4 linked regions of the Caenorhabditis elegans genome follow. The protein of the gene in region 1 interacts with the protein of each later gene in a biochemical or structural test. Each region holds a gene or a part of one and is shown on either strand. Other genes may lie near its edges.

Region 1 (5,193 bases):
TACCAACAAAACAGGGCACAATGTGCACACCGCGAATCAAAAATTCTTTCGTGATGCGCCAATAGTGCTCGGACCTCAATGTGTTCATAATGCTCATTGAGTTTGTGAAAAGCACTTAATTTTCTCGGTCTCATGCAACTAAATCTCTCAGTAAAAGGAAATAGTTCTGAATAGTCTCCTTAATTTCAAAGAACAAATATTTCTTAATGATGTTTTGATTTTCGAGGATAGATAATATATTGCAAAATGATTTAGTTTTAATTTCTGAAAACTTTGAACTTTATTCATAACAATTACAATGACAACTACTTGAACTTTAAATTGAATTTATGAAAGCATGAAAACAAATTTTCCTTATTAGTAACTAGTTTGAAAAATAAGTTCGTTAGCCTAGTTGTTAAAAAAAATATAATAATAGGATTTTTTTCATTGAATGTTCCAATTTGATGCATTATTCTCCTTGAAAATGAATTGTGATTTGAACGTCGCCCGATCCAATTGTAGCTCAACTTTAAAAAAATCTGGCTTCAGAGAATTTCGAGATTAAATTTAATCAGTTTATCCAAAACTCAATCAGCCTCTGGGTTTGTGTTGTTTTGATTGATATCAAAAATTTAATCTCAACCCACACATGATCAAAACCATTGTCACTTTTTTTTATTTCCTACTTAAAAATTCAATTTCCGTTGTTTAACGAAAATAGAGTTGGAAAACAATTGCGGAATTTTTGAAACCTGTTTCAGTAAATTTTCCCCACATATTCTTTTTCTCTTTTTTCTCAGGTATTCATCTTTTCGGCCCTCGATCCCTTTTTCATTAACGTGAACATGTCAACCATTTTTCGGCTTCATCACACAACTCCCTCTCACATCATTCCTGTTTTTGCTCTCATTTCACATTTAGCAAATTTCAACGCAATTTTTTTCTGGTTTCCGTCTAAGATATTCGTCACATAGATCAGTGCTGTTTTTTTGACACAGGGTTTAGAAATTTTGAACCTTGGTTTACCAATATCTTGTTTCTATCCATTTATTACTAGGTAGTTGTTGAACCATACGGAAAAAATAAAAAATTTTCCACTTGTCAAAGCGATAGATGACATCCTGTGCTTCCAGTATCTATAATTCTGTAATGAATCTCTGTCATTTGTAATCTGTATCAATTCGCAGGTGTATTCCGCCAAAAATATACATTCTGAAAGCTCAAGATGGTTTTAAGGTCTCCGATCTTACAATGTGGTTGAACTACCTAATTAGACTTACCCTATTTTTTAAAAGTATTGCACCTATACTGCCTTATCACCCAGATGCAAAATATTGCCATTTCACAGCTTAACTAAACCTGATCTTAACACGACAAGTTTTTTTTGTCAACTGAAAACATTTGCACCTTTAAAAAATACTGTATATTGAAACTTATAAAATTTTTGTAGACTCGTAAGAAAACCTATGAAAAGACCACCAAAACTCATCAACGAGAAATGAAAAGTACAGTAATCTTTATAAGTGCACACAATCTTTATAAGTTGCATTTTAAAATTTTGTCGTATTGTCTAGACCGGGAACCTGTTAGTGGGCCAAGAAATAGTATAATTTTGGGGTTTTTAAAGATGTGAGTACGAAATATTTAATTTCTATAAGCCATAAGCCATGCTAAAAAAACCCTAAAAATTTGCTTACATGAGAAGAAAGAATTATACTCAGCCAAATCTCTAATCACTTTCTGGAAACTATAGGATTTTATTTTTTATCTATTAATCTATTTGGTTAACACCCTCTTTCATCTTTGTTTCCTCAATTTTTCTTTCCTCCATTAGACTAAAAAAATTTCAGACATAGGCCAAATGGAAGTTGAAAATTTTACCGACTGTCAAGTATATTGGAAAGTGTATCCAGATCCTTCTCAAAGTATATATGCGATAGTGCCATTTCTGACCGTGTACCTTTTTCTCTTTTTTCTTGGACTCTTTGGAAATGTGACCTTGATTTACGTAACTTGCAGCCATAAAGCTTTACTGGTACGTTTCGTTTTTTTTTCGGGTCAAATTTTGTTCTGTTTTGGAAAATTGACAATTTCGGGTTCTCTGAACAATTTGATTCGAAGTGCATAGTGCGTACAGCTTACTGACACCCGGCTAACGAGAGACGAGGTTATCCATGTCTACTTGAAAAGTGACGTACATATTTGGCAAAAAAAAAAAACACTCTTATAATTCTATATAACCAAATATCATAATAAACGTTTCACAACTAGAAAAAAAAATTTTATAGACAGTCAAACTGAGTAATTACCACTTCTTGAAAGAATTTTTCCAAAAACGAACCAAATACGTGATGGAACATCACAAAAATGTTTTTAACATTTTTTGAAGCGGATCAAGATTTTTACTCTGACTAGTCCAATCAAAAATCCCAGAACCTTCACTTCTCCTGTGAATTATCATTAAATTTCAGAGCGTTCAAAACATATTCATTCTGAACCTGGCGGCGAGCGATTGCATGATGTGCATATTATCGCTTCCAATCACTCCAATCACAAATGTGTACAAAAACTGGTACTTTGGAAATCTACTCTGCCATTTGATACCATGCATTCAAGGTATTTTTTCTAAAACAAGAAGTTTTTTAAAATGACGTTTTTTTTTCAGGTATCAGCATTTTCGTATGCACATTCAGTCTCGGTGCGATTGCTTTGGATCGGTATATCCTTGTAGTAAGACCACATTCTACACCACTATCCCAAAGAGGAGCATTTCTTACTACTGTTCTATTGTGGATCCTCTCTTTTGTTGTAACTCTACCCTATGCGTTCAATATGCAAATGATTGAATACACAGTGAGTGTCGTTTTTTTCTAGGTATTCAACTTCTTATACAACTAGTACCCTCGTTTCAGGAAGAGAGAATATGCGGCTACTTTTGCACTGAAAAGTGGGAATCTGCCAAGTCTAGAAGAGCCTACACAATGATCGTGATGCTCGCCCAATTCGTGGTCCCATTCGCTGTCATGGCCTTCTGCTATGCAAATATTGTTTCGGTGCTCAGCAAGCGTGCTCAGACAAAGATACGCAAAATGGTGGAGAGAACAAGCGCGTTGGAGAGCTCTTGCGCATTCCCGTCGCATGGTCTTGAACAGTATGAAAATGAGGTAGTTTTATTGATTTTCAAATTAAAAATTCACATTTGATTTCGTTCCAGTTGAACGAATTTCTAGACAAACAGGAAAAGGAGAAACAACGAGTTGTACTTCAGAACAGAAGGTATTAAATGCAAGGTTTCTAACCGAAATACTATTTGTGTTTTAGAACAACGTCAATCCTAGTTACCATGGTTGTCTGGTTTGGGATAACTTGGCTGCCACATAACGTCATTTCTTTGATTATTGAATATGATGACACACAATCGTTTTTCCGACTTTATGGCAGAGATGATTACGATATCAGTTATTTACTGAACCTTTTCACTCACAGGTTTGATTTTAACCAAGAACGAACGGTTTTGACCATTCTGAACGTATAAACCCAAACATGCCTCAAATGAACAAATTTCAAAATAAAACTTCTCAAAATTTTTTTATGCCGGTTCATTTTTTGGAAAAAGACCTGGGTTTAGCTAAAATATTCAATTTCTGTCACTTTTCCGCAGCTGTCGAAAGTTGACTTTTTTTAAAATTATCGTCCTTTATCGCATATTTTAATAGTTTATCTCACTTTTTTCGATCATTAAGGTATTTTTTAAGCCAATAAGTAACAAAAAATGAACAAAATCGGCTACCTATTGGATTGAAAGATACCTTAATCAACGAAATAACGTGAAATAAAAGCTACAAATGGCACAAATGATGATTATTCAAATAAAGCCAGTTTCTGACCGCTGTGAGTCGGGAAAGTGGCTAAAGTTGCGGATTTAGCTGAAATTAACGTTTTGGCCCAAAACGTTTTGAGAAGTTTCATTACGAAATTCGTTCAATTGAGCACATTTTGTGACTATATGTTCAAAATACCCAAAACCGGATCCCTCCTTTGAATTCAATTTTTTTCATGTTTTTGCAAATATTAATTTTAACGTTTCTAGTATTGCCATGTCGAACAATGTTTTAAACCCGGTACTCTATGCGTGGCTGAACCCAAGTTTCCGTCAACTGGTCATAAAGACATATTTTGGAGACCGGCGTAAAAGTGACAGGTTTGTTGTCAATTTCGAAAACGCGTTGTAATTGTGCTTTGTCTTCCAGAATAATCAATCAAACATCAGTTTACAAAACAAAGATCGTGCATGATACGAAGCACTTGAATGGAAGAGCCAAAATTGGCGGTGGTGGTAGCCACGAGGCGTTGAAGGAGAGGGAGCTGAACTCGTGTTCGGAAAATTTAAGCTATCATGTGAACGGTCATACGAGGACTCCTACACCGGAAGTTCAGTTGAATGAAGTTTCAAGTCCTGAAATAAGGTAGAACGTGAATTTGAAATCGTAATTAAAATTTTGATTTTTTAGTAAACTTGTTGCTGAGCCGGAAGAATTGATCGAGTTCAGCGTCAACGACACGCTAGTCTGATTGTTTTCTGACATATCCTTTTTTCGTTGATTTCGCAACTATCATCACTTTCATCCTTGCTGAAATAGTTTTTATGATCTTTTTTTTGAATAAATAATACATAGGATGCATATATATCTATAAGTGTTTTCATGACGTACACATACGAAAATTGATGATATGTGGTCTCGTAGACTAAACGATCATCTCGTGTTCTACAAACGAATGATTCAAAGCAAAGTGCTTCAGAAGACTAGAAGGTAGGGAATTAAACACGAAATTATTATGCAAAAAGAAGAGTTCAAATATTGAACATGTGGTAAAACAAAACGCTATGCAATATTTTGGAGTTTTGAAAATTTCAGACAAACTGCCGAATTTTTCGGAAATCGGGAATTTTGCTGAAAAATTTCTGAGCCATCATTCGCCGGAATTGCCAATCGAAAAATGATTTACAGAACACTAAACAAGGTGTAATAATTCGTTTTCAGAATAAGATTAAATTTAAAAGTTGCTAAAAATTGTCAGCAATCTGCAATTGCGGAAATTTCAGCAATTGCCGAAAATGTTAATTTCCGAGTATTTTTGATTGCCGTGCACACTTTACTTTTTACAAAATTAAAATACCAACAATTGAATACATGTTTGTTTCTTTTTAAA
Region 2 (6,380 bases), 2.9 Mb from region 1:
AGTAAATTTAATTAGTTTTTTTTCTTCAAAGACCACATAACCAATTTTTCTGAAAAAGTTATGTTTAGATTTTCCAATGATAAAATACCTTGTTGACAAAATTTAAAAATAACAATTGATATCATCAACAAGGAACAGTCGATACATAGACACATTAGGGATTAGGACCGTAGACACCACGGGGACTGTACTGCGTACTATGCGCTGGAAATGACGCGCAATGGAGTGCAATAGAGACCAGCATATAACTATTTCAATGAAAATGGGAGATTACTTATTTAATAATCGGTATTTAGGTTTTATAATCTCACATTTTAAAAAATAAACTAATTTTTCCATCAAATTTTCCATATTAATAATACGTGATACACGTGTTCCTCTTCAAGTTTAAGTGGTTTTCCAAGAATAAAAATGCAAAAGGATTTCGAACATTTCCATTTCTGATAAATTAAAAAGGTGTTATGATTCACAACAAGGTTTAATAAATAACAAAATACGTGCGTACTTTGAAAACAGTTATATATATCTAATTTTTAAAATTAAAGTTCATGTATTTTGTCGTTTAATTTTTGACACTATATGAGCGGGTTTAAACAGTTTTCCTACTGAAGGTACTCCGTTTTTAATTTATATAACAAGAAGAGCTACAAAACACTTTGTGGTTTGTTTCAAGCAGAGAAAATGTGATCACACATATGTACTCAAAGAAAAAATCACAATTTTAGTCTCTCTTGATGACTCAGTTGACTAAAGGCAAAAAAGTCAGCCTCGTTTGCACAACAACGATTGTGAAATATATTCCGTTGCCTTTCTTTTTTGCCAGTTGCGGAACATTTTCATATGTGTTTGCGCCGCCGAAAATCGTCCATCATTCGAAATATGGAAAGCGAAACGATGTGTCTTTGTATCTTCAAAACGGCATTTCTCAATTGAAGCTCAATGGCTCATTGACATTCGAAGTGAAGACACAGTGTAGGGTCACGGCGCTAAAATGCGTGTTTTCCCATTGTTTTAATGGGGAAAAAGGACAATAAGAGTAGAAAACGGCAATTCGTCAAAATGATTGATTATATTCATCAATTAGTTTGCAGGAAACAACATGCAGAAATGTGGAAAAGATTTCAGTGAAAGTTTCAATTAGTTTGGAAAATCACTAACTGTTGAATATGAATAAACAAATGGAGAAAAAACAGGGATGTTAAAATTTTTATCAAAAGTCACTCCTCAAAAAGGTATTCCGTTGCGGGGAATCGAACCCCGGCCTTATGGGTGAGAGCCATAAATCCTAACCACTAGACCACAACGGAGATGGGTGAGCAATGGTCGCTGCTTAATGATAAGAGTACAGAAAACTTTGTGACTGTGAACAATGTGTAGAAAATTTTATCAGTCAGAAAGCAGCACGCGAAGAAATTGAGAAAAATGATGGTTGCCTTTCCGGCAATCTCTTTGGCAACAGTTCCAGAATTTCAGCTCTTATTTTATATCTTTTAATCAGTTTTCAGACTATGATCAAAACTTTGTTGGATGTTAAAAATATTGGATGACTCGTTTCTGATATTAAAAATTCAAACCAGCTGTTTATCATCTTGTTTCTCACTTCCTTCAACTGCTCGTTTTTGCTGTTCGTCTATGATTCCGCATCTTTTGCTGTTGTAATGTGTGTATTACACCGCTTCCGATGAGCAGATAGGATAGATTGGAGCTCGGGCGCTTCAAAGTTGACTCGTGTGAGGTGGCACACACACACGCATCTTTAGTCCCTCTAGTTCATTGTCCTTCATTTTTGCTACATTTTATATTCTCTGTTAAACAAGGCTAAATGTCCGTTACGAAATCACACCATAATCTGGATGTGGTAAGTTTAGCAAATATTATGAAATTGTTGGTTTTTAATGGGCATGTTTAATTTTTGTATAGTACATGCCAGCAATCTGAAGTCTTATGAAATACAAGACTTGACAATATGTTAAATGAAACAAATTCCAACAAAAAATTTCAGGTTCATCATGGAATAGTACTCATTAGTGATGGGAATGCCACTTCTAGATCGTCACGACTGCTTTTATCCAAAGGTAAGAGGAAATTAAAATGGAACTTGAAATAGAAATAAAATGGAACCATCAATTTTTGAATGTATGCATTTTTTCCACACTTCTCACATGGGGCCTATAAAAGCCGCACAATTTGCGAAAGCGAGAAGGGCCTGAAAAACGAGGAGAAATGGGGGAGAAAAACGAAAATAAAAGAAAAGTGTGCAATGACGGCCTCAACTAGTCGTGTGAAAACTTTATTAGGCAGCTCATGGCGCGGAAATTGGTGCCTAGCCTACAATTGAGTTGTTGAGAAAAGAGGAAAAAGCTGTCAGGGTCCCGCATCTTCGTTTTTGTCTTGCGCTTCCTTTGCGCTTTTAAAACTCCAAAAAAAATTTGGTAGAAATGACATGAAAATGGCATGAAAACTATATAAAAAGTCATCCAAAAAAAGAAATATCGTAACATATTCTTGCAGATGAGTTATGTATTCAAGTCATTGACGATGGTACCGCGGAGCCCGAAGAAGCCAAAGAAACATTTCTAGAAAATGCAACTCGGCAAGTTGTCATAGTTAAAAAACCAGACTCGGGGTTCGGATTGTCTATTAAAGTGAGCAATTGAACAGGACCGGTGTAATACTTAGAACTATTGCAGGGAGGATCAGAAAATGCACAAAACATGCCAATAGTAATCTCCAAAATATTCAAAGGATTGCCAGGTAAATCGTCAGATTTAAAATTTTAACATCTAGAAAAATACTTAAATTACAGCCGACGAATGTGGAGAGCTATTTATTGGAGATGCTATCGTAGAAGTAAATGGAATATCCATAGAAGGTGAGGGAAGAAAAAGAACGAGTAGTCTTCATTAGTCCAATCATTTGGTTCCCCTCTGGGAAATAGGAACTGAAAACGAATGAGCGTTCATAGCAAAGACCAAAAAGTTAAACTAGTTTTTTTTTAAATAATAGAAATAAAATGGAACCATCAATTTTTGAATGTATGCATTTTTTCCACACTTCTCACATGGGGCCTATAAAAGCCGCAACAAAATAACTTTTGGCAATTCACGTTCAAAAATTTAACATAAAAATTTAAAAAAAAAAAACAAAGTTGTATTGAATAATAAAACAAGTCATATGCTGTACTTTCCCTATTATACTTGCTCCTTCTCTGTTGGATGGGTTATATATGCCGTCCTAAGTTTCATAACAAATCAATTTTTTTTCAGTTGCCAATTAAAAAAAAACCAAAAAGAACTAACTAAGATATAAGCTGTCAAAATCAAGCAAGGGCATGATGGTACAAGTCTAATAGGGAAAAAAAACGGTAGACTATTTTTTCATATCAACTTCCAGGTCAAAGCCACGACGAAGTGGTTAACATGTTAAAATCAAGCGGTGACCAAGTAACTTTGGGTGTCCGCCATTTCACCCATATGACGCCGTTTCTAAAGTGAGTTTGGTTTTGTGGCGAAAAAAATTTGCTACTCAAGTCAGTCCCATGCATCGCCTTTCTTCCTATTTCCCGCTTCCTTTTTCGATTTTCGACGTGGCGTTACTTTGGCGAGAGGACACACAAAAAAAGTATGGTTGAAAAGAGTGGAAGAAAGAAGCATGAAAAAGAAGGAAAAGGACGAAGAAACATGAGTAGAAACAACTGATGGATTAGAGTGTAGAAGAGCTCTGCGCAGGGGGTGGTTTGAGGCAAAGCACGCGGAGCCTTACGCCATCCTCCCTGATGAATGCTTTTCACTGCATTTGAAATTCAAAAATGTGCGCAGTAGGCAAACTGCCGAGGGACACACAATGTTTTGCGCAGAGTATATAGTTGCATTTGATTTTATATCGGGGTACCAGAGACGTTGGAGTGACTACTTTTCAGACCAGCACAGTCATTGCAACCCGATGGAACATTGGATCAGCTGTTTGATGGAAGAAGTACAAGGGTAAGAAAAAATCCTAAGCTTCCATTTTGAAATTATTTGGAGTTTTTGCTTCAGAGCCACAAAGCGCAATCCGAATCCCGACTCTCCGACTCGAAATGGCAACAACATATTGACGGACGGGAAAAGAAATGGAAAACGTTGACGTCTCTTCCGTTGGCAATGGCTTATGTCACCAGATACCTCTGGGGAACCGACAATATCAGGTTTGCTTCAGATTTTATTTTCGTAATGAATACATACAACGGGGAGCTTTTTGTATTTCTTGTTCAACAAAACTAAAATTTTACAGGACAAACTCTTTCGAAGTTCGTGCAGTAGATGGAAGATCGTCGGGAATTGTGCATTGCGAAGATACATCGGCGCTGGAACAATGGATCTCGCACATCAGCAAACATATATTGTCGCTCAACCAAAAGAGTATAAAAATGAGCAACAAGTACTTGCATCAGAGTGAGCAGGTCAGTATGCAATGATATGACTTCAATGTTTGGTAGGCACGTTTGGTTGCCTTGAAACATCTGTTAAAAATACGACATCGGAATTAAAAATTAAATGTTTTCAGCACACATCAGATTAATGATCCAACATTACTGACTATGAAGCCGTTTTAGGTGTCCAGAGAATTATGGGTCGAATGATGTATTTTCTAAAAGCTAATACAATGGAAATTACGAATTCAGAATAAAACTTTGCTTAATCTAATTTTGAGGCAATTATTTTTGCTTTTGTCTGCTCGATTTAGGATACTTGATGGAAACATTGTTGTTTTTAAAGCCGACTATCTTGTTGAAAATTGAATATTCAAGAAAATAGTCAACTAGTAAATCTACTAACATTATGCACGGTTTTTGCAGTAAATAGTTTAAATTAATGTTTTTTAGATCAGCTACATTGGTTGGGTGAATGAATACTTGAATGATGATGATCAAGAAGAGCTTAAAATCCGCTGGCAACCTCGCTTCTTGATTTTAAAAGGCAGTGATGTCTGCTTCTTTGATGTTCCGCCGGTATGTTTTTTTTTTAATTTTTGAACTTATTTTACATGATTCTTTTTTTCCAGCTAAACTCTGAAGATCTCAACAAATGTGTCTACTTGTACAAATGTTATGATGTTGCTGTAAAACAGGTAGATTATCAAAAAAAGTAGTAATTCTAGAAGGGATATCTACAGGTCCCAAACTCTAGTCCACGAAGAGATAAGCGTGACAATTGTTTCTTAATAGAAACTCCATTGCAAGTTCCAAATCACTACCTGTCATTTGAAGCTGTATCTGCATTTGAACTTTTTGAGCAAGCATATTACCGAACCGTATACAATACCATTTCCCAAATGCAGGCAAGTTTATTTAAATTATTCAACAACAATAACAGTTAACTTTAGTCCCGAACGTTTGCCTGTAACTTTGAAGGAAGAGCCAGTGGAATCGTTTTTGACATTAAACAGGGAATTAGTCTATATGATATTCCTACTAAGGTAATACTATTTCTAACTGTTATTGATATTGATACAATTTATTTCTAGAGTTACATTTGGCAATATCGGTTCAGAGATTTACAAGCCGTTGCTGATGATGGCAAACTGTGTGTCCAGTTATCGTTCAATGATGATCGTTCATTGAATTCCGATAGAATAGAAGTAAAGGTTAGTGGTTTTGCAACTTTCCGAGTCAAGTACTCAAATTGCAGGACATCGAATGCGAAGATGTGGTAACAGTTGTATTCAACCTTCATTCCTTTGTTCTTGCCAGAATTGTTTCCACTGATCCAGACTATTTGAAGGCTAATCGTTATGTTGGAAATGCAGAGGACTAATGATTTTTGATTTTCAAAGCATAAATATTTTTTTGTTGTTGTTCAACTGTTGTTTAAAACAAAATTTGAATCATGAGTTAAAGCTAGGTTTTCAACATTTTTTTATTTCAAACTAAAAATAAAAACAATCTGCATGCCGTAGTCTACCTGTAACTTATGGACCAGTTTTGAGTCATATGCAAAAAATCAAAATTTCATTGAAAACATATGACTTTTTTCAGGTTTCTGGCACAATCAAATTGTCAATTTCAAAAATCCTTTATTTCAATAATCATAAATTCTAATTCTCAAAGAATTATATCGATAACAAGATAAAGACACGCGATGAGTCAAAATCAACCGGTTTCTGTTTGCCGTAATATTGCACTTACAACAGTACTCGAAAACTCAAACAAAGGTGAAATAACAAAGTAAAGAGTTGCCTAATTCAAAGGCTCAATCTTCTTCGTCTCATATTTCTCGAATGGAACCATTCTCACACGCAATATAATCCACGCACTAATAAGGACTACCAGCTGAAATCGTTTGGGTTTCTATTGAATTAACTGCAGCAATACTCACGTTCACAATTAGTATCAACCATGG
Region 3 (6,658 bases), on another chromosome or scaffold:
AATTTTCATCGGTTGCTATATAGGTTTACAAATACTTTTTCATTTTGCCAGTTGATAATTTTTCAAATAGCAATATCACGGAAGCTGTTGAATGTTGAATATTGAATCTGAATGTTGAAAATCGCCTATATTGCAGGTTTAATTTTGAAACCTACGAGGCGTCTGTTGTTACAACTTGTTACTAGGTTAGGATATTTTTCAATTATCAAAATTTTCAAACTACAATAAAAATATATCATTGAAAAAAAAATGAAGAAAACGGAATTTTAAACACCGAAAAAAAACACTCGCTGAATTAATTCGGCGGGCAGAATTTTAAATTTTTTCCCGAAATCTTGAATTCCGAAAATCTATCCAATATAACGCGGAAAATTTTAAACGGTGTCTTGAATTCTGCCAATATCTCAATTCTGTTTCAAAAAAAAAGCCATTGAGGATTGAGTTATTATCAAAATTTTGTAAAACTTTCAAATTTCGAAATATAATTTTGCTCAATTTTATTTAAGTTGATACTTAAAAATGTATTTAAAAAAAGGTTCCAAGTTTTTCCCCTCAACTTCTCATCTCAACAAACTACAGAAATACCATTTCCACTTTGTTAGTTCCGTTAATTGCATACATAAAAGTCAATTGTCTCTCTGCAATATTGTGCCGGTTTCGTTTGAAATATGACCGAATTATGGATACACACGGGGCTACAGTAACACGACACCATTTTCAAGTGACAACAACTGGTGTAATAATTACCAGGTGTAATTATTGCCGCTCTGAAGTTTTTGGGGATGCGGCGGTCCAATAAGGGGTACTGTACGCTAGGTCACGCCTGTTTCATGGTTCTGAAACTTTGAAGTTATCGTTTTTAATATAATCTGAAAGTTATGAACATAAATTTTTTTTAAAAACAAAGGCTATAGTTGGGTTTTTTTAAATTCGAAGTTCTCGTTAGAAAGGGGTTGTGAATTAGAGTGCCAATCAGGGGTGCGCGGGAATTCTACAAAATGAGACGGTTGGGAATGTTCCCCCGATATTATTCGTTAAAATTTAATGGTACAATATAGAAAATATTTGCATTACTTGAAAATAACTGTTATTTCAGTAAAAAATATTGGAAAAATCTTCAAAAATCGTCTGAATGTTGAAAATTGCCGAAAAATTGACGCCAGTTTTCCACATTCGGACAATTTTTGAACACTTTCTCGGTTGTTATAAGTCAAATAAAAATTAATAGTAGTTTACAGGAAGTGTTCCTAAAGCTGAAATAACCACTCAAAACTCGTTCTTTGCAAAATTTAGTATTTTGTGTCATATCTACTGAATTCAGTCTGCCCCGCTACTTCAAATTTTTATATTGTCAGTTGGTATCACCGGAATCCATTTTTTTTCAAATTTTTTGATATTATCTGCAAAATTAATCTGAAAAATATATAGAATAGTATTTTAAGCGTTGAACTTTTTTGGTCACTTATATATGTGCCAAACTCCTGAATTCGGAGCAAACTTCAAAAGTGGTGTCAGGTTTTGTTGAAAAGTGGTACCTTTTCCCCAATTTCAAAATTTTCATTTCAAAAAATATCAAGTTTCTGACTGCTCATCAATAACTACAGAGCTGCGCAAAGGGCGGAGCTCAGATCCCGCCCTATCTGCTCGTGTGCGCTTTCGCAAGAGCTTTCGGCTCATTTTTTGGAAGAAGGTCTCCCACATACACCTCGTCATGCAGTTCTCCACGCTTATTCGAGTTGCAGTTTTTGCGGTTTTGGCAATTGCTACACTTGCAGGTAAGAGTTGTTGGCTAGATTTGCAAACTGAAAATACGATACGGATTCTATACAATACGAAAAATCAAAAAGATTAGGTTTTTTACGGAGTTTTATACATGTTTGGGTGAGTTGACCAGCTTTAGTTATAACTGCAGGTTTGAGAAGCATAATGGCTGAATAAATAAGTTTTAAAAAATGTATTCTCCGAGTGACGAATTCAAAAACTTATGATACATATCCTCGTGATCCGATTTCCAGCAAACTTGATATTTAGTTTCAAAAGTTTACATCATTTCGACATTCTGACAGGCAAATTGGCGGTTTACTCAAAACAGAGCTCGCCATTTAAGTCAAGTTGAACTTTAGTCAGTCAGATTGTAGATAATAAATCAAAGAAGTATGGAAATTTTTTAGCAACACCCAAATGTAACGGGGGATTATAACAAAAAAATTAACTGTCAAGTTTTTACTTTGGTGAGACTGGAGCAAAAACAAGAAAAACATTTAAAACAAATTGATAATAAATCGACCAAAAAATTCACTATAACTTGCCAGATTTTTTAAAATTGCTTTACTACCCTCAAAATTGTCTGAAAACGCAGACTTCTTAAAAACTTCTCGAAAAAAAAGTTATGACGGCTCAAAAAATGGTCTAAAAACTGTTTTGAAATTACCGTCAAATTTTGGGTATAAAATTTAGTTATCATGCGTTATCAACTCGATTTAGTAAGCCAATAGACGAAGAAATTTGGTAAAAATGTTTAAAATCTTTTGGTCCATCGACTTTAAAATAACTAAATCGAGTTGAAAAGGCAAAATAATTACATATACTCATATACTCAAAATTTGGCGGTGATTTAAAACAATGTTATCAGCCGCTGCGACATTGACAATTCCGTCAAATTTCAAATTTTGACTAATATTAGGCCCTTTTTTGAGCCGTATAACTATTTTTTTGAGAAGTTTTCATGAAGTTTCATTATGAAATTCGGGTGTTGTCAGACAATTTTGAGTCTAATAAAGCAATAAAAAACATTTTTACAAGTTATTTGTTACCAGTTACATTGTAACTGGTAACAAATTTTTGACAGCTCTAAAATTATAAATATATAATTTCAAAATTTCGATGACATCACCCTACCGTAACCCTGTCAGTTTTGATCCATTCCTCCATCATTTCTTGTCATTTCCTAATTCCACTTTCTTTGTTCTTTTCCCATTTGTCATTCAACAATCCCCTCCCTTACTCCTCCGCTTGTGTAGTTTAGTAGTAAAATTTTTGGAAAAATTCTGACTTTACGGATCACTGGGCTCCGGAAGTGAAAAGGTAAGGGTTTAGAAGTCAGAAAACTGAAGTTTTTAGATTTGTAAGTGGAAAAGTGCAAAAGATCGTTAAAATGTTTAAATCGGTTGTAAACGATGATGAAATTGATTTTGAAAGTCGCAAAACATTTTCGACAGCTTGAAATAGTGCCGGAAGCTGATAGTTTTTCCAAAAGCGTCGAAATTTGCAAAAAAAAACATCAAAAACTGTTTAAAAGTTTCAAAAATTTGCCAAAAGTTCATGAAAAGCCGAAGAGCTAGCGAAAATTAGTCAAGAGTTTTAGGAATATTCCAAAAATTGCCAAATTTTTAAAGACATTATTTTAAAAGCTGCCGAATTTTTTTGTGAGGATTTGATGATTGATCAAGAGTTTGGGCAAATTTCAAAATTCTTATAATTTTTCAAAAATTGTTTTCATTTTTTATAGAATATCGGTAATTTTGAAAAGTATTATTGCCGAATTTCGTGCAACAACTATTTTTAAGACAAAATTCAAATTATTTGAGATTTACAAGTTGCCAAAGAACCGTAGATAAAAATTTTATAATTCCTATTTCAAAATCAAAATGTCTCTAGTCTAAGGTGTAAGGGATTAAAACTTCCCACTAAAACTTCCAAATTTGTCACCACCCACGCCCGTCTACATAGTAGTGTCTTCTTCTTCTTCTTGTTTTGTCATAATATGTACACATGTATCAACCATAAAGAGGAGCCATTTGCATCGATTTTCATTCATTTCCACACTCCAGGGTCTAACTTTGGTAAGGTTTTATTGGCGGTGCACGTCCACTGGGGGTCGTCAGGCGATTAGTTTGAAAGTTTGAAACCAATGAGCAACACATGGGGCTCGCTTTATTTTGGAAACCTTTAGGAATGATGATGGTTGTGTATTTGAAAATGGGCTGGGGATTTTAATTTTAACAATTTAAAACGCAAGCGGCTAATTTCAAAAGTTAACATTTAAAAGTTAATTATTTTCACTGATCACGAAATTCTTTTGACACAATTTGAGGTTACTGGACAAAATTTTTGCCTTTTGGTACTAAAATTATCAGACGTCGATGATTGACCAAAAATTAGTTTTTTAGACCACAGATTTCAATATTATCAGTATTTTGAAATGCGATTAATTTTCCCAAGAAAATTTAATTAACAACACGATTTTATATTGTTCAAATTTTTTTAGAATTGCAAGTGTAGCAATTAATTTTTTTTTAATTTTAAACTAATATGTCATTTGTTTATTCCAAAATTGAGTTCCAGACGCTGCGACAGCGAGAAGATGGCAAAAATGTTTGATTTTAGCAGAAAATGAGCCTTTTTTCCAGAACTTTGAACTCGTTATAACTTTTTTGAAAAATGTTTAAAACGTTTCATACGAAATTCGGTAGTTTTGGGTCATTTTGGATCTAAAAAACAAAGTCTCGGATTTCGGTACTCCACCGTTAAACATTTATACCGAAGCAAGATAAAATAGGCATAGCAGCAGACTACAAAATTAGAGAGAAAACATTAGAGAGAATTGCAAAAAAATTTCAGTTGACAATAGTTTGATAAACTATTGAAGTTGGTTAAGAATTATTTATACTTTCAAAAAAAAGTTCGTCACACAAACCCGTTACCTAAAAATTCCAAAAACTCAGCTAGTCAAACAAAACGAGCTTCCTTGTCTAATTTATTCTTTTGTTCTTTTCTCTCACTTTGATAATGAAAACTTGACAAATTCTTCGTTTTTTTTCGAGAGCATCACGTTTATGCAGATGAGGGGGTAGATGTTTGAGATGAGTGATAAAAGATTGAATATTTTATGAAAAAAAAAGTTGGGGGAGATTTTTCTTTTTTTGGGTGCTGAGGTCAAACGGGGCAACATTCAAAATTTTGAGATTCTTTCCCAAAAAAGTACTACTAAACTGCCGGAATTGTCGAAAGTTTACCAAAGCTTTTGTCAAAAATTGTCTGATTGATTTTCCAGCAAATTTTCATTTTTTCAATTGAAATTTTTAAACAGAGTGTAGAAATTTCAAAATTTTGGCACAAAATGCATCTCAAATTACCAGAAGACAAAACAAAAAAATTGTGCCAAAAGTTTCACACGGCGTCCATTCGAATTATTTATGGAAAAATGATATGTACGTGTGTCGGAAGTGGGTTTCATGTGAGAATTTTTGTGAATTTTAAACAAATATTTAGAAAGTGGAAAATGAGAAAAAAAAAACGTCACTTTATAAATAAACTTGAAAGGATTCAGAAGGAATTTGATATTTCCAAGATTGGAACAATGGGAATTAAAAACTAATAAGTAGTAATTAAAAGCTCAAACTATGACTTTCAAATGAACCAAAATTTCAAAAAAAAAACAAGCATTCTAAAATTGCAGATTACGACGACAATTCGGTCGGAACAATCCCAGTGGCTGTTGATTTGGACTACTTTTCCAATTGTAAGCTTTTGAATTGTTAACTTAAAAAATGAAAATCACAAAGTTTTAAAACATTTGTTTATTCAAAACTTTTCGATCTCTTAAGTTTCTAAAAAGATATCAGCATTTCAAAAAATGTTCAGAAATACATTTTATCGCTGAATTCAAGTGAGAATACCATTTTGAAAATTAATACTTTTAAAAACATTTATAACAAATAAGTTTTCTATCTATTTTCAGTTAAAACTTTTTTATATCTCAAACGGTTTGATTGCTTTTTAACCTACCAATTTTTTTATGTTTGGTGACCACTTTATGCTAAATTTTCAGACGTAAAGAAAGGCGGACCCCAGGGACCACTTCGATTCGGAAAACGACGTGGACCATCTGGACCTCTCCGTTTTGGAAAGCGATCATCATTCCACGTGGCACCTGCTGCTGAAGACGTCGCGTCGTGGTACCAGTAAATAATTTGGAGAGCGGTCATTTTCTTGCCAACAACTTTTTTCTCCCCGATTCCGTTCCCCCGTTTTTCCATCCCTCACCTGACTGTGCTGCATGTGTTTCTATGAAATAAATAAGATGATTGGTTAATAAAATATGTTTTCAAGTTAATTATATTATTATTATTATTATTATATCATTATCGATGAACTTATAACAATTTTCAGAAAATGTCTGTCAAATGGATGAAAGTTTTGATATTCTTTATTTCGAGTAGTCGGCAACCAGCAAATTTCTAACTTTGAAATCGTGTTAACTCTGTAAACAGGGTGCACGGCAATTGCTTATTGCCGAAAATTCACAAAACCGACAATTGCCAAAGTTGCCAATTGCCGGAGATTTTGAAACCCAGCAATTGCCGAAATTGCCGATTGCTGAAATTCAGAATCGCCGGAAATATAAATTCGATACTTTTTGTAGATTTACGAAACTCAACATGAATTTTAATGGACAATTTTCTCTTTTCAAGCTCGGCATGATTTAATCCTTGAATGAAAATCGGCAATTTCGGCAATTACCAAAATTTCCGATTACCGCGCACCCATGTCTGTAACTAATGAACTATTGATCATTGAACTTTGGAAACTCAGAAAATTGAAAATGGTCGATGTTTTATTTTCTGAAACTCTTTTTTTTCTGAACTAATCGAGAAGC
Region 4 (4,959 bases), 3.8 Mb from region 1:
CAGATTTCGGGAAGTGATGACATTTATCTGTGTAATATGACCATTGAAATGTGGGTGTACCAAATTTGTAAACTTTGATGACAGTATAAATAAAGATCGTGAACACAATAAAACAACTCTTGGAAAGTAATATTGAACACAAAAAGTACAGATGATATGGCCAATTGGTACACTTCTGCATTATTTTAGTACTCTTAATCAAGACTGAAAGAGGGTAACAAAAATTGGTTCTGTTGTGTTTTAGTATTGAATAAACCTTTTTGAAAACAAACTTCTTTAAGAAAATGAAACATGATCTTAAAATTCACACATGTCGTAAAGAAAGTCATCGAGCAAAAGTTCAAATACAAAGTTCGCGTAAAAATTCAATATGCTGAAAATTCTAGGCTTTACGGTTTGTTTGCTCGCCCGTAGACTTTTTCATTCCCGTAGCTTCCAGTTTTAATTAAAACTTTTTTGTGGGCCAAAACGGACACGTCATGTCAGGCCCCGCCGTTTCCTCCTCCGACATGTCAAATCGGTCATTCAACACTGACATTTTGCAGTTTTCGGAGAATCTCCCATTTACTACGGAGAACGCGCCGCCTAGAAACAGAATAGTTCAGTTTTTTAACTTTAGTTTAGTTGTTTTTTTTTGTGGTATCTAAGAAAAAAGAAGCAATGTGGGCTTGAAACGGGTGGATCTGAAATGAATCTTGCAATTGATATTGTTTCTTGTGTATATTATGGAAAACGGAAATGAGAATTCGGCAAGTGAACACAATACAAAACTCTCATTTTGAAGTAAAACCGGTACATGAGCACTTTTATCGGTTCGTGGAAATTATGAATTGGTACATAAACAAAATTTATAGTTGATCGTCGGAGTGTTTTTTGGGAATAGCGTTACATCGATTTGCAAGTTTTCTAAAAACCAAAGTTGATGCTCTATGACGTACTAAAACAATCACTAGAAGTCTATTTGAAATTTGAAAGGTTTCTGATTAATTTTTTGTTCTGATTTTCGTATTATTATTTTTCTCCCAATTGATAGTGACCCTGGTTCGAAAACAAATAATCCTACTCTATTATTTGTTTTCAATCAGCTTTTCGGCTTCTGACTCCATTTCTATTATCAAACTCTGGGTTAAGTCGTTAGTTTTCCGGTACCCCTTCTATTCCCCCAGAGGCTTACTAGATCGTTTACTTTTCAATCTCCACGGGGTTAAATGGGAAACATAGAGGGCATTCCGTTTTGCAAAAAGAGCTTGTTAAAGTTGAAGTCTGGAAGGAAGTACCTAAAAGTACCTAAAAAAGCTTTTGGGTCGTGTGACGAATTGCGCAGAGAATTCAGAAATCTGCTGGAGGATTCTTTTTATATTTTTGATCGCCAATATAGACGAGCTAATTCATCAAATTATGTCATGCAACTTTGACGCAAGTTATCAAAAGCATATTGCTATTTTCTGTTGTAGTAGACATGTTGATATCTTCATTTCTCCAATTATCTTCTCTTCCTACTATAATAACAACTCTTTTAGATAAAGTCTCTTCCCAAAAATAACAACTACAGTTTCAATTTACTCCTTATTTCCCATCATCTCTAGTTCAGCTCCCAACCGCTCCACATAATAGTAGAGATGGGGCGGAGCCAGTTGGCAAGCCATGCGCAGCGTCCCCGCCTTTCAGCTTCCACGACAGCACCCGCCTTTTACGAAACAGTCATTCCTCGCAACTATGAGCAGCCGAAGCACCACGATTGCTTTCCTCTTCATCGCCACCCTTCTTGTCTTCCAATGTGTTTCCGCTCAATCAAGGTAGGTTAATTTGATGTCTAGGGTTCAGGTGCTGTGATGAGCCAATTGTTAAACCCCAACTGATCAAAACTGGCCATTTGTTCTTGATTGTGATCATTGCTTCGGCTATTGAGACTATCATGGACTTCCTAAAAAGAAAAGGCGCTAGGACTTAAAGTAAAATTATTAAAAGGATTTTAAAAAAGGCTGACATAAATTACCAACTCAGACAGAAAAAAAAACACAAAAAACCAAAACTCTAACGGTGCGTGAAGGTCTAGATTGAAACAACAACGGAACCTATTAAAGTCGTAGGTACAAGCAAATTATCTTTTTCAGAAAAACTAAATACTAATACAGAAATAGTTTCAATATCCAAATTAAATCATCGTTGTACAGCTAATTGCTCAAAAGTGACGCATTTTTCATCATGCACTTTATTTCATCATCATTTTCGTAATTTTCTAATTATACAAAGATGCAATGGCGTGATTAACACACATACTAGATTCTGTTCGTTTTCTTCGGCATTTCACTTTACTACTAGCATCTTGTGCGCTTCCTACGAACTTATACCCCGGTCTCCTCCCTTTTTTTCATTCTCATGAGCATCGTAATGTGACGTGAGTTTATTCTTTTTGGGGGATCCCATCTTGTCTGTTGGACTCTTGGTGTCGGATGAAGCGGAAATATCAATCAGCCATTCAAATTCAATTGCGAGTACTAGGAGGCGCGCTTTTTGCTTATTCGCTTTGCATTCGATGCTTCCGGTGAGATGCACTTTGACCCATTCTTTCCATACTATTGTTTAAAAAATTGGAACAACTTTGTTGGGAGGCCAGAGTCTTCAGCAAGGAAAAAATAGAGATGACGTTATAAACAAAGAATGGAAGTGTTCAATGACAATATCTTTTTGAAATTACTTTTCGAAATACTCAGATTTTTAAACTGTTTGTTTTGTTTTAAAGCTTGGAATTTCCCATTCAGAACATTGAATTCCAAGCATTGAAAACAAAAACAAAAGTATGTCAAACAATAAAATAGTTGAGGACTAGTCTCTAACCTAATAGAAAAGCGAGGGTGGAATTCATAAAATTAGCTTCTTTGACCTTCAATGTAACACAAATTAGCATTCCGTTCTCGATTTATCCCGCTTCTTTAATATCAGGCAACTTTGAAACTTCCCTGTTTCATTCTTAGAAAGTCACTGGAGGGATCAGAGCACTCACAAAACATGTCTCCTTCAAAAAGTTGCCACCACTTTTTTGCTCTAGTCGTTCAATACAATTGGTAAATGAAGCGTTTAATTTTGCACTTGGCGTGCTAACATGACGCATGTGCTCATTGAGTTTGGAAAAGTAAAGTAGTTGGTTAAGCGACAAAAAGGAAAATGTGGTAACCTTCTTATCTTTTCATTTTTCAATTATTTTTGAACAATTATATGCAGAAATGTAGGTCGTGGTGAACCGAAACACAATATTAAAAATATGATAAATGGTGGTAATTAAAATAGACACATTTTCAATATTGACGTGTGAAATACGTAAGAAAAAAGACAGGAAAGGTTCTATGACATTTTAAAAAAATAAAACAACGGTCTCTTTGTTCACAAATATGGACTTTTCAATCTAATAACACCGAATATTTTCAGTGCCGAAGACGCGGACTACCTTGAAAAATACCAAAGAATAGCACGAGCACCAAAGCCAAAATTCATCCGATTCGGTCGTGCAGGAGCCAAGTTTATCAGATTTGGGCGATCAAGGAACACTTGGGTTAGTATTTCAAGAAAATAATTTTTTCAGTGAATCACTGCATAAGTCGAAAACCAAGGTTCTGAAAAGCTTGTTTCCTTGTGTTTGTTGTACACATAGCTTAAGCTGCTACCATTGTAGAAAATCCTATTCGACCCCCTTATTACGTATGCAAATTATATTCTGAAAATCTTGATTTTTATCTGTTTTGATATTTGCTGAGTCTAGAGATTTTTTTGTAATGCTGGGGAGCACCTTAAAAAAATTGTTCTAGTCGTATATGAACATTTACAAATTTCGACTAATAAGTATATGATGAGACTAATAAAGGATAAACGATGCCTGTCATTTCCAGCGAAGACGGAATACTTTTAAGTCACAAGAAAAACGTCAGAATTTCATGAAAGATCGACGTGACTGAGTACACACTGCATTACAAGCTATTAGCTTTCTGAAATATTAAAAACCCCGCTCCCCCACTATCTTTACAAACGGAATACATATATGAAAATATCACGCTAAAAAGCACTATGTCATATGCCAACACATGGATATGAGTAATGACGCATCCGAAACGTCAACTTCTCATGTATACTAACCATTATGCCATCATCATTTATTGAATTTTCAGGAAGATGGATACGCCTCACCATCGGTCAACGAGCTCTACGTTAAACGTGGAGCCAAATTCATCCGATTCGGCTAATTAGGAACAATCAACTCGTGTCGAATCACTGCTCCTACGTTGTCTAACTGCATAGTGTTTCTTAAAAAGTCCCCACCTGAAATATACCCTTTCACTCATTTATTTGTCCTCCTATTTTTTTCGAACTGTTGTGCGAACTGATATTCTTTGTGTTTTCCATTTCGACGCCTTCTCAAATGAAAAACGTTGCGTTAAATTATTATGTTTCAAAATTTTTGAATAACAAGTATCCATAATCCATGATCTTAAAAAAACAATAAGAAACACGTAAACAATTCATTATAAAATATGGACTTAATTAGACGTCTCACCTAAATATGTTTCCAAAAATTGTGTGCGTTCTTTTTTTTAATCGAAATATTAACTAAATACTGCAATCTAGTCAATCAAATGACATGTCAATGTTTGAATGTGGTTTGAAATTTTATGCCAAGGAATCAACACAATTGAACAATCATTTCATTTTGTATTACTATTGCATGTGTCAAAAATACTTAAAAACTTATTTTTGTTTAAATCTCCATACACATATCTAATCTTCAAAACTTACGATCATCCCAATTTGGTTTTTAGAAAGTGGTGGCAGTATAGATGTTATTTGAAATGTTTTTTCGTTTACTAATTTTTTTTGGCTTTGGTAGCCTTGAGTTCTACAGAAAATTGAAAAGTTGGTTAGAACAGAGGTTTCAAAAATAATTTATTTTCGAATTTTGGTTACAGCTAG

What was found.
Region 2: the proteins of npr-1 (region 1) and stn-2 form a complex in vitro, tested with the Caenorhabditis elegans proteins (one study listed by BioGRID).
Region 3: of the proteins of npr-1 (region 1) and flp-15, one has a biochemical effect on the other in vitro, tested with the Caenorhabditis elegans proteins (one study listed by BioGRID).
Region 4: of the proteins of npr-1 (region 1) and flp-5, one has a biochemical effect on the other in vitro, tested with the Caenorhabditis elegans proteins (one study listed by BioGRID).

Annotation. Positions count from the first base shown.
Region 1 is NC_003284.9:4,766,625-4,771,817, reverse strand, and holds npr-1 (Neuropeptide receptor npr-1), read left to right. Parts: upstream 1-1,832; 5' UTR 1,833-1,843; coding exon 1,844-2,017; intron 2,018-2,453; coding exon 2,454-2,598; intron 2,599-2,647; coding exon 2,648-2,835; intron 2,836-2,894; coding exon 2,895-3,146; intron 3,147-3,196; coding exon 3,197-3,258; intron 3,259-3,303; coding exon 3,304-3,468; intron 3,469-4,072; coding exon 4,073-4,183; intron 4,184-4,232; coding exon 4,233-4,448; intron 4,449-4,493; coding exon 4,494-4,554; 3' UTR 4,555-4,666; downstream 4,667-5,193. UniProt on the Caenorhabditis elegans protein: G-protein coupled receptor for FARP(FMRFamide related peptide) neuropeptides. Activated by FARP neuropeptides flp-18 and flp-21. Plays a role in modulating social and feeding behavior.
Region 2 is NC_003284.9:7,675,967-7,682,346, reverse strand, and holds stn-2 (PDZ domain-containing protein), read left to right. Parts: upstream 1-1,727; 5' UTR 1,728-1,822; coding exon 1,823-1,858; intron 1,859-2,002; coding exon 2,003-2,075; intron 2,076-2,511; coding exon 2,512-2,645; intron 2,646-2,690; coding exon 2,691-2,754; intron 2,755-2,806; coding exon 2,807-2,872; intron 2,873-3,393; coding exon 3,394-3,490; intron 3,491-3,919; coding exon 3,920-3,983; intron 3,984-4,037; coding exon 4,038-4,186; intron 4,187-4,272; coding exon 4,273-4,441; intron 4,442-4,864; coding exon 4,865-4,990; intron 4,991-5,043; coding exon 5,044-5,109; intron 5,110-5,154; coding exon 5,155-5,319; intron 5,320-5,364; coding exon 5,365-5,457; intron 5,458-5,505; coding exon 5,506-5,625; intron 5,626-5,669; coding exon 5,670-5,795; 3' UTR 5,796-5,836; downstream 5,837-6,380. Other genes in the region: mfsd-8.5 (Major facilitator superfamily (MFS) profile domain-containing protein), read right to left, coding at 6,218-6,310, 6,357-6,380.
Region 3 is NC_003281.10:13,662,857-13,669,514, reverse strand, and holds flp-15 (FMRF-Like Peptide), read left to right. Parts: upstream 1-1,675; 5' UTR 1,676-1,711; coding exon 1,712-1,775; intron 1,776-5,458; coding exon 5,459-5,521; intron 5,522-5,830; coding exon 5,831-5,967; 3' UTR 5,968-6,115; downstream 6,116-6,658.
Region 4 is NC_003284.9:8,526,606-8,531,564, forward strand, and holds flp-5 (GAKFIRF-amide), read left to right. Parts: upstream 1-1,715; 5' UTR 1,716-1,716; coding exon 1,717-1,796; intron 1,797-3,426; coding exon 3,427-3,550; intron 3,551-4,160; coding exon 4,161-4,235; 3' UTR 4,236-4,428; downstream 4,429-4,959. UniProt on the Caenorhabditis elegans protein: FMRFamides and FMRFamide-like peptides are neuropeptides. GAKFIRF-amide has an excitatory effect on dissected pharyngeal myogenic muscle system.